Coturnix japonica: one gene and its partner. Each later gene encodes a partner of the first gene's protein in a complex. Links are inferred from orthologs where the notes say so. Each region holds a gene or a part of one and is shown in the gene's direction. Other genes may lie near its edges.

What was found.
Region 2: the proteins of ROBO3 (region 1) and NELL1 are in contact, whole or in part, in a crystal structure (PDB 6POL), measured with the Homo sapiens proteins. The link is inferred for Coturnix japonica from reciprocal best matches to the Homo sapiens genes ROBO3 and NELL1. Residues at the interface, in NP_071765.2 of Homo sapiens: Ser553, Pro555, Val590, Glu592, Phe594, Pro596, Asn600, Thr601, Trp602, Thr604, Ile624, Leu626, Arg630, Gly633, Ala634, Trp635, Gly636, Leu637, Ser638, Glu639, Pro646, Val647, Arg648; in NP_006148.2 of Homo sapiens: Ala440, Lys441, Met442, His443, Tyr444, His446, Tyr458, Arg468, Val469, Asp470, Asp471, Phe472, Ser473, Asp478, Ile492, Cys493, Thr494, Asn495, Thr503, Cys504, Lys505, Pro506.

What each region holds. Positions count from the first base shown.
Region 1 is NC_029539.1:195,833-200,291, reverse strand, and holds the start of ROBO3 (roundabout homolog 3), read left to right. Parts: upstream 1-1,475; 5' UTR 1,476-1,685; coding exon 1,686-1,833; intron 1,834-3,087; coding exon 3,088-3,414; intron 3,415-3,610; coding exon 3,611-3,768; intron 3,769-3,838; coding exon 3,839-3,959; intron 3,960-4,029; coding exon 4,030-4,168; intron 4,169-4,459. UniProt on the Homo sapiens protein: Receptor involved in axon guidance during development. Acts as a multifunctional regulator of pathfinding that simultaneously mediates NELL2 repulsion, inhibits SLIT repulsion, and facilitates Netrin-1/NTN1 attraction.
Region 2 is NC_029520.1:1,773,869-1,778,390, forward strand, and holds the start of NELL1 (protein kinase C-binding protein NELL1), read left to right. Parts: upstream 1-1,470; 5' UTR 1,471-1,485; coding exon 1,486-1,549; intron 1,550-1,788; exon of another isoform or gene 1,789-1,888; coding exon of another isoform or gene 1,889-1,937; intron 1,938-4,522. UniProt on the Homo sapiens protein: Plays a role in the control of cell growth and differentiation. Promotes osteoblast cell differentiation and terminal mineralization.

The sequences.
Region 1 (4,459 bases):
CTCTGGCATTGCTTTCAATTATCATTCCAGAGAACTGTTCAGATAATAGTTGGATAAACCTGTTATTCTGCAGGCCATTTATTGCTGCTTTTTCCTCACAGGAGTCCCTGGGCTGCTGAACCCCAGCAGGAGAAATGGGAAAGCTTTGTGTTATTCTTAAATTAATATTTATTTGCTTTCTCTTCTTTGCCCATGAACAAGAGGGAGCATGAATAATGCATGGCCCTGAAGATGCCCAGATAGGAACGCTGCATCTTTGGGCTCCAAGGACTTTCCTGGCTGGGGAGGCTCCCAGATGTGCCCCATAGGAGCTCAGATGTGCACAGATGTGCACTCATTGCAATGGCAGCACAGTGCCAGAAGTGTGCACCCACCATGTGTGCTGCACTCTGCCGGGTGTGTGTGGCCAGATGTGAGCTCAGATTCCATTTACACCCCTGGCTGAAAGCACACGAAGCATTGCCGTGCCTCCAGATATGCACAAATTTAAAGCATCCATCTGCATCCATACATCTACAGATGTTTGATCAGCTGCCACACCGGGACCCTCCCAGCTGCTGTCCTGCACTTCAGCTGAGCCCTCCAGCTGTTTGAGTGCACGACCAGATGTCAACATCCCAGAGACCATTTTACCCACACAAGGTTGGGCACCAGCCCAAGGACGCCTCCAGGTGAGAACTTGTGCTGCAGCACATCTGCACCCCTCCTTTGCAGATGTTCATCCAGATGTGTGCATCAGAAAGTGGCCTCTTCTGTGTGTACAGAGGGGAGCATGGGAACCTCCCGATGTGCACACAGCTGTTTCCCTGTTTTCTCCCCATCACCCATTCCCACCTCTTCTCTCCTTTGAGCTCCCCCCACCGCTGCCAGCCTCAGCTTTGAGCTTTTCCAGCCTGGTCATTAGTGGCACCATGAGGAGCCCCTTCCCACTCCTGGGGGGTGCGCTGAGGGGCCGCAGTCGGGCTCCAATTAGCATCAGCAGGAGCCAGCTTTGAACAGGCACATTGCTTCACATGTTGGCCTGGCACATTCATAAAGCAGCTAATTGCCAATTATGAATTCGAGAGATACGTGGCTACTGCAGAGCCATGGGGTGACGGGCGATGCTGGGACCCAACACATTCTGGGATGGGCTGGGGATCCCCAGCTGCCGCTTCCTCCCCTTCCTTCTTCTGAAGCCAAAACGGAGCCCAGCTGGTGGAGCTCACTCGGGACATGCCAAGATTTCATCAGCTGCCCCCCCCAACCCCCATATTCCACCCCATTTGGGACCCCCTCACCCCATCCCTTTGCCCCTCAACCCCTCAGCCCTCACCCCCAGGTTACCCCCTTATAGCAGAGTCCCACCTGATCCCTTTGCCCCCACTCTAAAGGTAACACCCTCCCGCCCGCCACGGACACCCCCTCTCTGCGCTCCCCCCGCTCCGCACCGCTCTGGCCGCGCCCCCCTCCCCGCTGGGACTGGGGGCGGTGCTGCGGGCTGGGTCGTGCCGAGCTGAGCTGGGCTGGGCTGGGTCCGGCCGCGTTGTGCCGAGCCGTGCCGGGCCGTGCCGTGCTGGGTCCGGCAGAGCCGGGCCGAGCCGGGCCGGGCCGAACAGAGCCGAGCCGTGCTGGGTCCGGCTGAGTCGCGTCGTACTGGGTCCGGCCGTGCCGTGCCGAGCCCGGCCGGACCGAGCCGGGCCACTATGCTGCGGTACCTGCTAAAGACGCTGCTGCAGATGAACCTGTTCGCGGACTCGCTGGCGGCCGAGATGTCCAACTCCTCCGAGCTGCTGCTCGGCATCAACGGCAGCGAAGCTGCGCTCGACCTCCGCAACCTCACCGCTGGCAACGGTACGCGTCGGGTCCCGGCCCGGCCCCCGCTCCCCCTCTGTCCCTCTGTCCCTCTGTCCCGCCTTCCCATTCCCCTGCTGTCCCACTGTCCCCGTGTCCCGCTGTCCCTCTGTCCCTCTGTCCCTCTGTCCCTCTGTCCCCGTGTCCCTCTCTCCCGATCCCGCCCCGTCGCAGGTCACAGCGCGCCCCGCAGCCCCCAACTGGGACGGACCAGGGACTGTCCCCTTCTTCCCACACCCACCGTGTGTCCCCATGCCGGGGTCTGTCCCTTATCTCCAAACCAGCCCCATTTTCTCAAGCCTGTCCCTTGTCCCCAAACTGGGAGTGGCTCCTCATCCCCAAACACACCGTGTGTCCCCGAACTGCCCCTTGCTCCCAACCGACAGCGACCCGTGTCCCCATATTGCTCCCGTGCACCAAACAGGAGCAGATCTCCGTCCCCAGACCGGCTCCGTATCTGCAGACCGTGTCCCCTAATTTGTGCCGTGTCCCCAAACCGAACTCCCGTCCCCCATCCCCACAGATCGCTGCCGTGTCCCCCAGCCGGGACAGTCCCGGGGCTCAGCGGGTTCTGGAGCTGCGGGGTCGTTCTCCCGAATTTACGGCACTTCTCGAGTTCTTCCCTTTTTCTTTAAGCCCGAACTTTTTGCTCCTTTTGGGTCCAGGGCGGCCGGTCCGCGCTGTGAGCCCCGCGGGACGCCCCGTCCCACCGCAGCCGGCTGGGCTCAGGAGGGGGCACCGTGCGCCCCCCCCCCCCGGTGCCAATTATCCCCGTGCCCAGCTGCGGCCCCCGCCCCGCTGCTCCCCCCGACCCCCCGGAACTCTGCAGCATCCCGTCCTCATGGCAACGCTTCTACCCCCATGGCAACGCATCCTGTCCCTATGGCAACGCATCCCACCCCCTTCCCGGCAGCGGTGCCTCCCCCCCCTCCCGGGTCCCTCGTCACGACCCCCCCGGCCCGTCAGGCCGCCACCTGCGTGTACCGGGCACTGCGAGGCAGCGCTGCCGCCCCGCGGCCCAAACCCGAACTGCAGCTGCGGCGCTGCAGCGGTCCCGCATCTCTGAGGTCCCGCACGTTTTCTTCCCTGCGCCCTCCGCCCCCCCAACCCCACCAGCATCCAGCAAAAGGACCAGGGAGGGGACACACCGGGTGCCATGGGGGGACACCAGCTCCTCCCCCTGCAGCCTCAGCCTCCTTCCCTCTCACGCCGTTCTGCCCGCACACCCCTGGGCTGTGTTAAACCCCTCCCCAGGCTCCCACCCGCGGCTGGAGGACTCTGCTCCCCGCATCGTGGAGCACCCCTCGGACCTGCTGGTGTCCCGGGGTGAGCCGGCCACGCTGAGCTGCAGGGCAGAGGGCCGCCCATCGCCCACTGTGGAGTGGTACAAGGACGGTGAGCGCGTGGAGACGGACCACGAGGATCCCCGCTCCCACCGCATGCTGCTGCCCAGCGGCTCCCTCTTCTTCCTCCGCATCGTGCACGGCCGCCGCAGCAAACCTGATGAGGGCGTCTATGTCTGCGTGGCCAGGAACTACCTGGGTGAAGCCACCAGCAGAAACGCCTCGCTGGAGGTGGCTGGTGAGCCCCAGTTGCATGGTCCCCATCTCCACATCCCCATCCCCATCCCCATCCCTATCCCCATGGTTTTGAGGTCCCACATATCTCCAGCCCTACACCCTTCTTATTCAGAAAATAATTCCTTTTGAGGGGGATCTGGGGAGTCTTCCAGACTTCCTCTGCTTCCCCCTTGTCACCTGTGATGTGGGCTGTGCAGTGCTGCGGGACGATTTCCGTCAGTCCCCCGGGGACGTGGTGGTGGCAGCGGGTGAGCCGGCCGTGCTGGAGTGTGTCCCACCCCGCGGGCACCCCGAGCCCACTGTCAGCTGGAAGAAGGACGGCGCCCGGCTCAGCGACAAGGACGAGCGCATCACGGTGAGGGCTGGGAGACCCCAGAACAACGAGGTCGGTGTTTGGGCCTCGTCTGAGTGCGGCTCCCCGGCAGATCCGCGGTGGGAAGCTGATGATGGCCACCACGCGCAAGAGCGACGCCGGCATCTACGTCTGCGTGGCCACCAACATGGTGGGGGAGAGGGACAGCGAGCCGGCAGAGCTGGTGGTCTTTGGTGCGTGGGGATGGAGCGGCAGCTTTGGGGTCTGTGCCAACATGGGGCACTCACAGCTGCTGCCCCTCAGAGCGCCCCGCGTTTGGCCGACGGCCACAGAACCAGGCGGTGCTGGAGGACCAGGCGGCTGAGTTCCCTTGTGAGGCACTGGGGGACCCCCCGCCCACCGCCCGCTGGCGCAGGGAGGACGGTGAGCTGCCGGCGGGAAGGTGAGCGGGGTGAGGGGCTGGGGGGCGGCAGGTTCCAATCGGGGGTGTCTGATGTCCCACATCACACTCACATTTCATGTACTCATCACACCCCACAACCATCACACCCCACATCCTTGCTGTGTCCTGCACACTCACTACATCATGCCTCTCCATCCTTACTGCCCCCACACCCTCCATCCTAGTTGCATCCCGTATCCCCATCACATCCCCATCATATCCCACATCCCTGTGGCACCCTCGTGGCACCTGGTGCCCTGTCGGCACCGTGGGCTCTGGGGTCTCTCCCCA
Region 2 (4,522 bases), on another chromosome or scaffold:
CTAATTGTCTGTTGTCCAAGGGCTGCAAACAGCATTGCAGCCACTCTGAGAGAGGCCAGGCCTAGTCAGGAACTCTTTGTCAAATGACAGAATGCCGCAAGCTTTGTGGCTGGAAGAAATAGCAGCTTAACACCACACAGCTAGCGACGTCGTGATAATTTAGGTCAAAATCAAGAAGCATTTAATGTCCTGCTGGCAGTGCAAGGACAGGAATATGATCCGACCTGAAATCTAGCTAGTTTGCCAGGAGGAACACTTCATTCTTGCTATCAGACTTTTCAGAAACTTTAGTTGGATTAGATTTGATTTTGTGTGTAGATAGAGCCTGATTTTGTTATTCCATAAGCACAAATGTAACTAAGCTACTATGAATCGGATGCATAGCTGTATTTCCTAGAAAGAAACCTCTTACATCAGAGCACTGAGCTGGGATAGAAGGGTGTGCCTTCACCTATGGATGTGCCGTTGCCTTGTTTTCTTGTTGCTATGGTTATATAACATATACACATATGTGTATACAATCCACCTCTCCGTGCCTGAGGGCTAGCAGCAGTGCTGATAGCATGACACACTAAACAAAAGCAAGAATGTACAAAGCTACATTGGAGCAAAAGCTGTTTACTGAAACTGGAGGGTAAATGGCTGAGATACTGCTGAGATGAGCACCCTGAGGTTTCCTGGAGTGCACACCCTGCTAGCAGCCAGGAACAGCTGTTCTCAGTGATCTTACTAAATTAATGATTAGGCAGCTATGCTGGCTTCTGATCACACTATTGTGAATGTGCATGAGCACAGTTGCCCCTTAAGAATTGCTTTTTATTTTGTTTGATTTATTTTCTTCTGTCATAGAATCCTTTGAGTTGGAAGGGACCCTTAAAGGCCACCTGGTCCAACTCCCCTTGCAACAGAGACCCCCACAGCTCCATCAGGTGTGCAGAGCCCCATCCTTGCATGTCTCCAGGGTTAGGTTTTCCTCTGCATCTCTGGGCAACCTTTGCCTCAAAGTGCCTCACCACCCTCGTTGTACAATACTTCTTCCTTATGTCTAATCCAGTTATTTCAGTGTTTGTGTTATCCCAGCTTCCTTCAAACATACACTTAAACATTTATTTAACTGTTTGTTTTTGCGTGCAAGCTGGCCTAGTTTTGTGTTAAGCAGAGCCTAACTACAGCATGATGAGGTGAGGAGTATTTGCCTTTCCACCAGCTGGGGCTTGACTGGAACTGTATCGAACAAGCAGGACCACCTGGGCTAGCCTTGGGTGGGACGGGAGCTCTAGTAGTTGCCCTCCATCTCTAACCCAACTTTAAACCAGATGTTCAAGGGGGGTCGCGAGCTAGAGCCGGTTTCTTCTACGTGCGTGAGCCGAGGTTGTGGCTGGAGAGAAAAAAAAAGTAGGTGAAGAGATTCTTTAGAACAGCCATTGGAGCAGCTTCACCGATGACTTGCAAGTATACCGAAGTGCTGTCCCCTTTTTGAGCTTGATGGACGTGGAGGGGAGAGCAGTTAAGCCACTCGAGCAAGGACACCGGTGCTGCCCTCGGCAAGGTACGGGTATCCGCGTTACAGTTCGGCGCTCCATCGGTCTGCGGGGCGGCGCGGGGGGGTCTCATCCCTTTGCCGAGCTCGGGGTCTGCGTGCGGGGCCGCTCCCACTCGGCGGCCGGGCGGCGGCGCTGGCGAGGCCCGGGGGGGCCCGCGCGTCACGGCGGGGGGCGGGCGGGGAGCCCCAGCCGCGGGGGCGTCGGGGCCGTGCCTGGGCAGCGGGCGGAGCCGCCTCTGCCGGTGCCGCTCCGCGCATCGGAGGCTGCGTTCGGCTCGGCTCCGCTCCGCAGCAGCTGTCGGCAGGCAGGGAGGGAGGCAGGCGGGCGCCGCCCGCGCCGCGCCGATGGGTCTGCTCCTGCTCCTATGGGCGTGTGCGGCCGCCGCCGGGGCAGGTAAGGGATGGGACGGGATGGGGCTGCGGAGCCGCATCCCATGGGAGCGCGGGTGGAAACTTTGCGGTGGGCTGAGGGTCGGGCCCCGGCTCTGGGGGCTGCGGCGGGGGGCGCTGGGCGCGGCCGCTCCGCGAGCGTTGGGGTCGGAAAGTTTCGGGGCAGCGGCTGCGCCCCCGGGGATCGAGCACGGAGGGGAGCGGGGACGGCTGCTCTGCTGCGCCGTGCCCAGAGCTGTCCGCGGTGGATGGAGCCCGGGGGAGCCGCGAGACCCGGCGCCTGTTCCCGGTGGCGGCTTTGTTCTCTCCATTTACCCCGCGAGTCGCCCTGCACCGGAGGGAGCTCGGCTGGGGGTCGTTTCCTTGCTGGTGTCCGTTGGTGTCCTTAGGGAAATTTGCCGGTGCGATTAGCCGAAGTGCGAAAGAAGCGGTGTTTTAATATTGTTCTTAGTGTTTTCTTATTGAAATACATTGCTTTTGAGAGGTGGTAAGTGGAGTAGTTGGGAGAACACGCCGTTCCTAATACTCGCCCCAGCAACGCTCGCAGGCACTTGCGGTGGTAAATAGGACCCTAAACTCACCTGTTTGGAATTGCAAAGCTGCTCGGAAAGTTCTTTGTGTGCAACAATTGCTGCAGGAGCTGCGGAAGGGCCGAGCAAAACGCCTCAGGTGGAGGTTCCAGTTACCACCTGAATGATTGCACATGGTTGTGTGGGCACAGCTGGGCTGTGTCGGCTGTGCTTTCAAAGTTTCTCTGTCTCCAGGCAGCCCACGTACGGCGGGGTCAAGGAAATTATGAACGTGCTGCACGCATCATATGGTGCACATTAGGTAGCTGGAGCGTGGTGTAATTGCCAGGGCTTGGGTGCTCGTGATAAAGGTGCAAGCAGAGCGTATGAGCTGTCGGAGCCGTGAGGTGGAATTAATTTCTTCTAGGGATTTCCTAGTGACATAACTCATAATTATATGGCTTAATCCTCTAATCTACTCTAGTGCCTTCAATTTGCATTGGGCCAAATCTACCAAGTCCTGAGACGATTTCTATGCCTGCCCCCTGAGTGAATTAGTAGGAGTTTTGCTTGTGTAAGCCACTGATGTGAGGGAAATGGCCCAATTACTTTAAATAGGAATTGAAAGCACTGTTGGTCAGGGTCGAGCTTTGCACAGCTCTCCAGCAAGGACTTACAGGTTGATGGTTAATTTTGACTTCCAGAAGCAGCAGTGTTTTTAGCCTTCCTTATGCTGAAGGGAGGCAGCAGAACGTGCTGGATGCAGTTGGTGTGCTTGTGGAATCCTTTTGATAGAGCATGAGAGACCACAGGGGAAAAGGAGACTTAGTTATGATACTGAAGCTGCTGATTTGTTGTTTATTAATTATTTAACTAGGCTTCTGAGTGCCTGCTGCAGGCTGGGGAGCCAGCACAGGAAAATGACTGTATTTAAAGCAATGTTAGTCTTTTGCTAAATGGATGCTGCGACATTAGAACTAATTTCCTTTTTTGAAAGCATTCGAAAAGCTGGGAGGGAGCACATTGAAATTGTCACACGGGATCCCTCCCTGGCATGAATCGAAGTCTGTGGAGCTGCAGTGATCTGTACTTGTTGAGCTATCCATGCTGGAATTAACAGCCTTAAGAGAGCAGCGGAGCTTCGGTGATTTATAGGAGTGTCTATACATGCTCGATGTGGTTTCTGTCCTCACCCTCTTGATGTCAGTGGTGGAGCATTCGCTGGCTTTAACGGGGTCAGGATTTGTCTTACTGGATGTGGTTTGTCTTTTCCATTGAGCAAGTTTTAGTCTCTACCCTGGCTGCCCTCATAGTAGTAGGTTCTTGTTGCTCCAGACCCATCTAACCTCTTCCTGATAAGGAATAGCATACTCTGCTTTCAGTAGGGAAGATGAGAAACTAAAACTGTCTGGTTTTTACTACTCAGCGTACTGTGCAATAATGTCCTCTGGATTATCGCAGCTTGTTATCAGGAGGAGTTTTAATTTCTAAATAAAAGAAAGGAGAAAGTACTGTGGAACAGATGATTTATGAGCAGAATATGTAACTTCTTGTTCATTCTGTACATCTCAGTAGTTTTTTTAGAGCCTTTCAAAGAGTTGGACTAGGGAATTTGCTGCTTAAATGATCCAGAAGCACAGTCTTAGAATGCCAAATAAATCAGTTTAGACCTGATCATGGACTCCACTTAGTGGATATCAATCTAGATGTGCTCCACAGGTAACGTCCTTGCCCCACAGAAGTCAGTGAGAGGTTTTACTATTGACTTTGGTTGCATCAGGCTTTCATTCTCAGAACCCGTTCCCATTACTAATGATGTTAGCAAAAATTTTCATTAGGAAAGTGCTTGGATCCTGCGTGAGGTTGTTTGACCTACGTGTCAGGCACAGCTCTTGTGCTGTATTTATTGCTATGCTGAGAAAGATAGTGCGGTCAGGTTGGCCTCTTGCCATCCCTTGGAAAAGGAGGTATGTTTAAAAATTCAGTGTACCGTAGCCATTAAGTTGCCCTGAACTTTTGAATGCAGTAACTTCAAATTACTTGAACGTGCATCTTTTCTGTCAGTCTCATCGATTTTCCC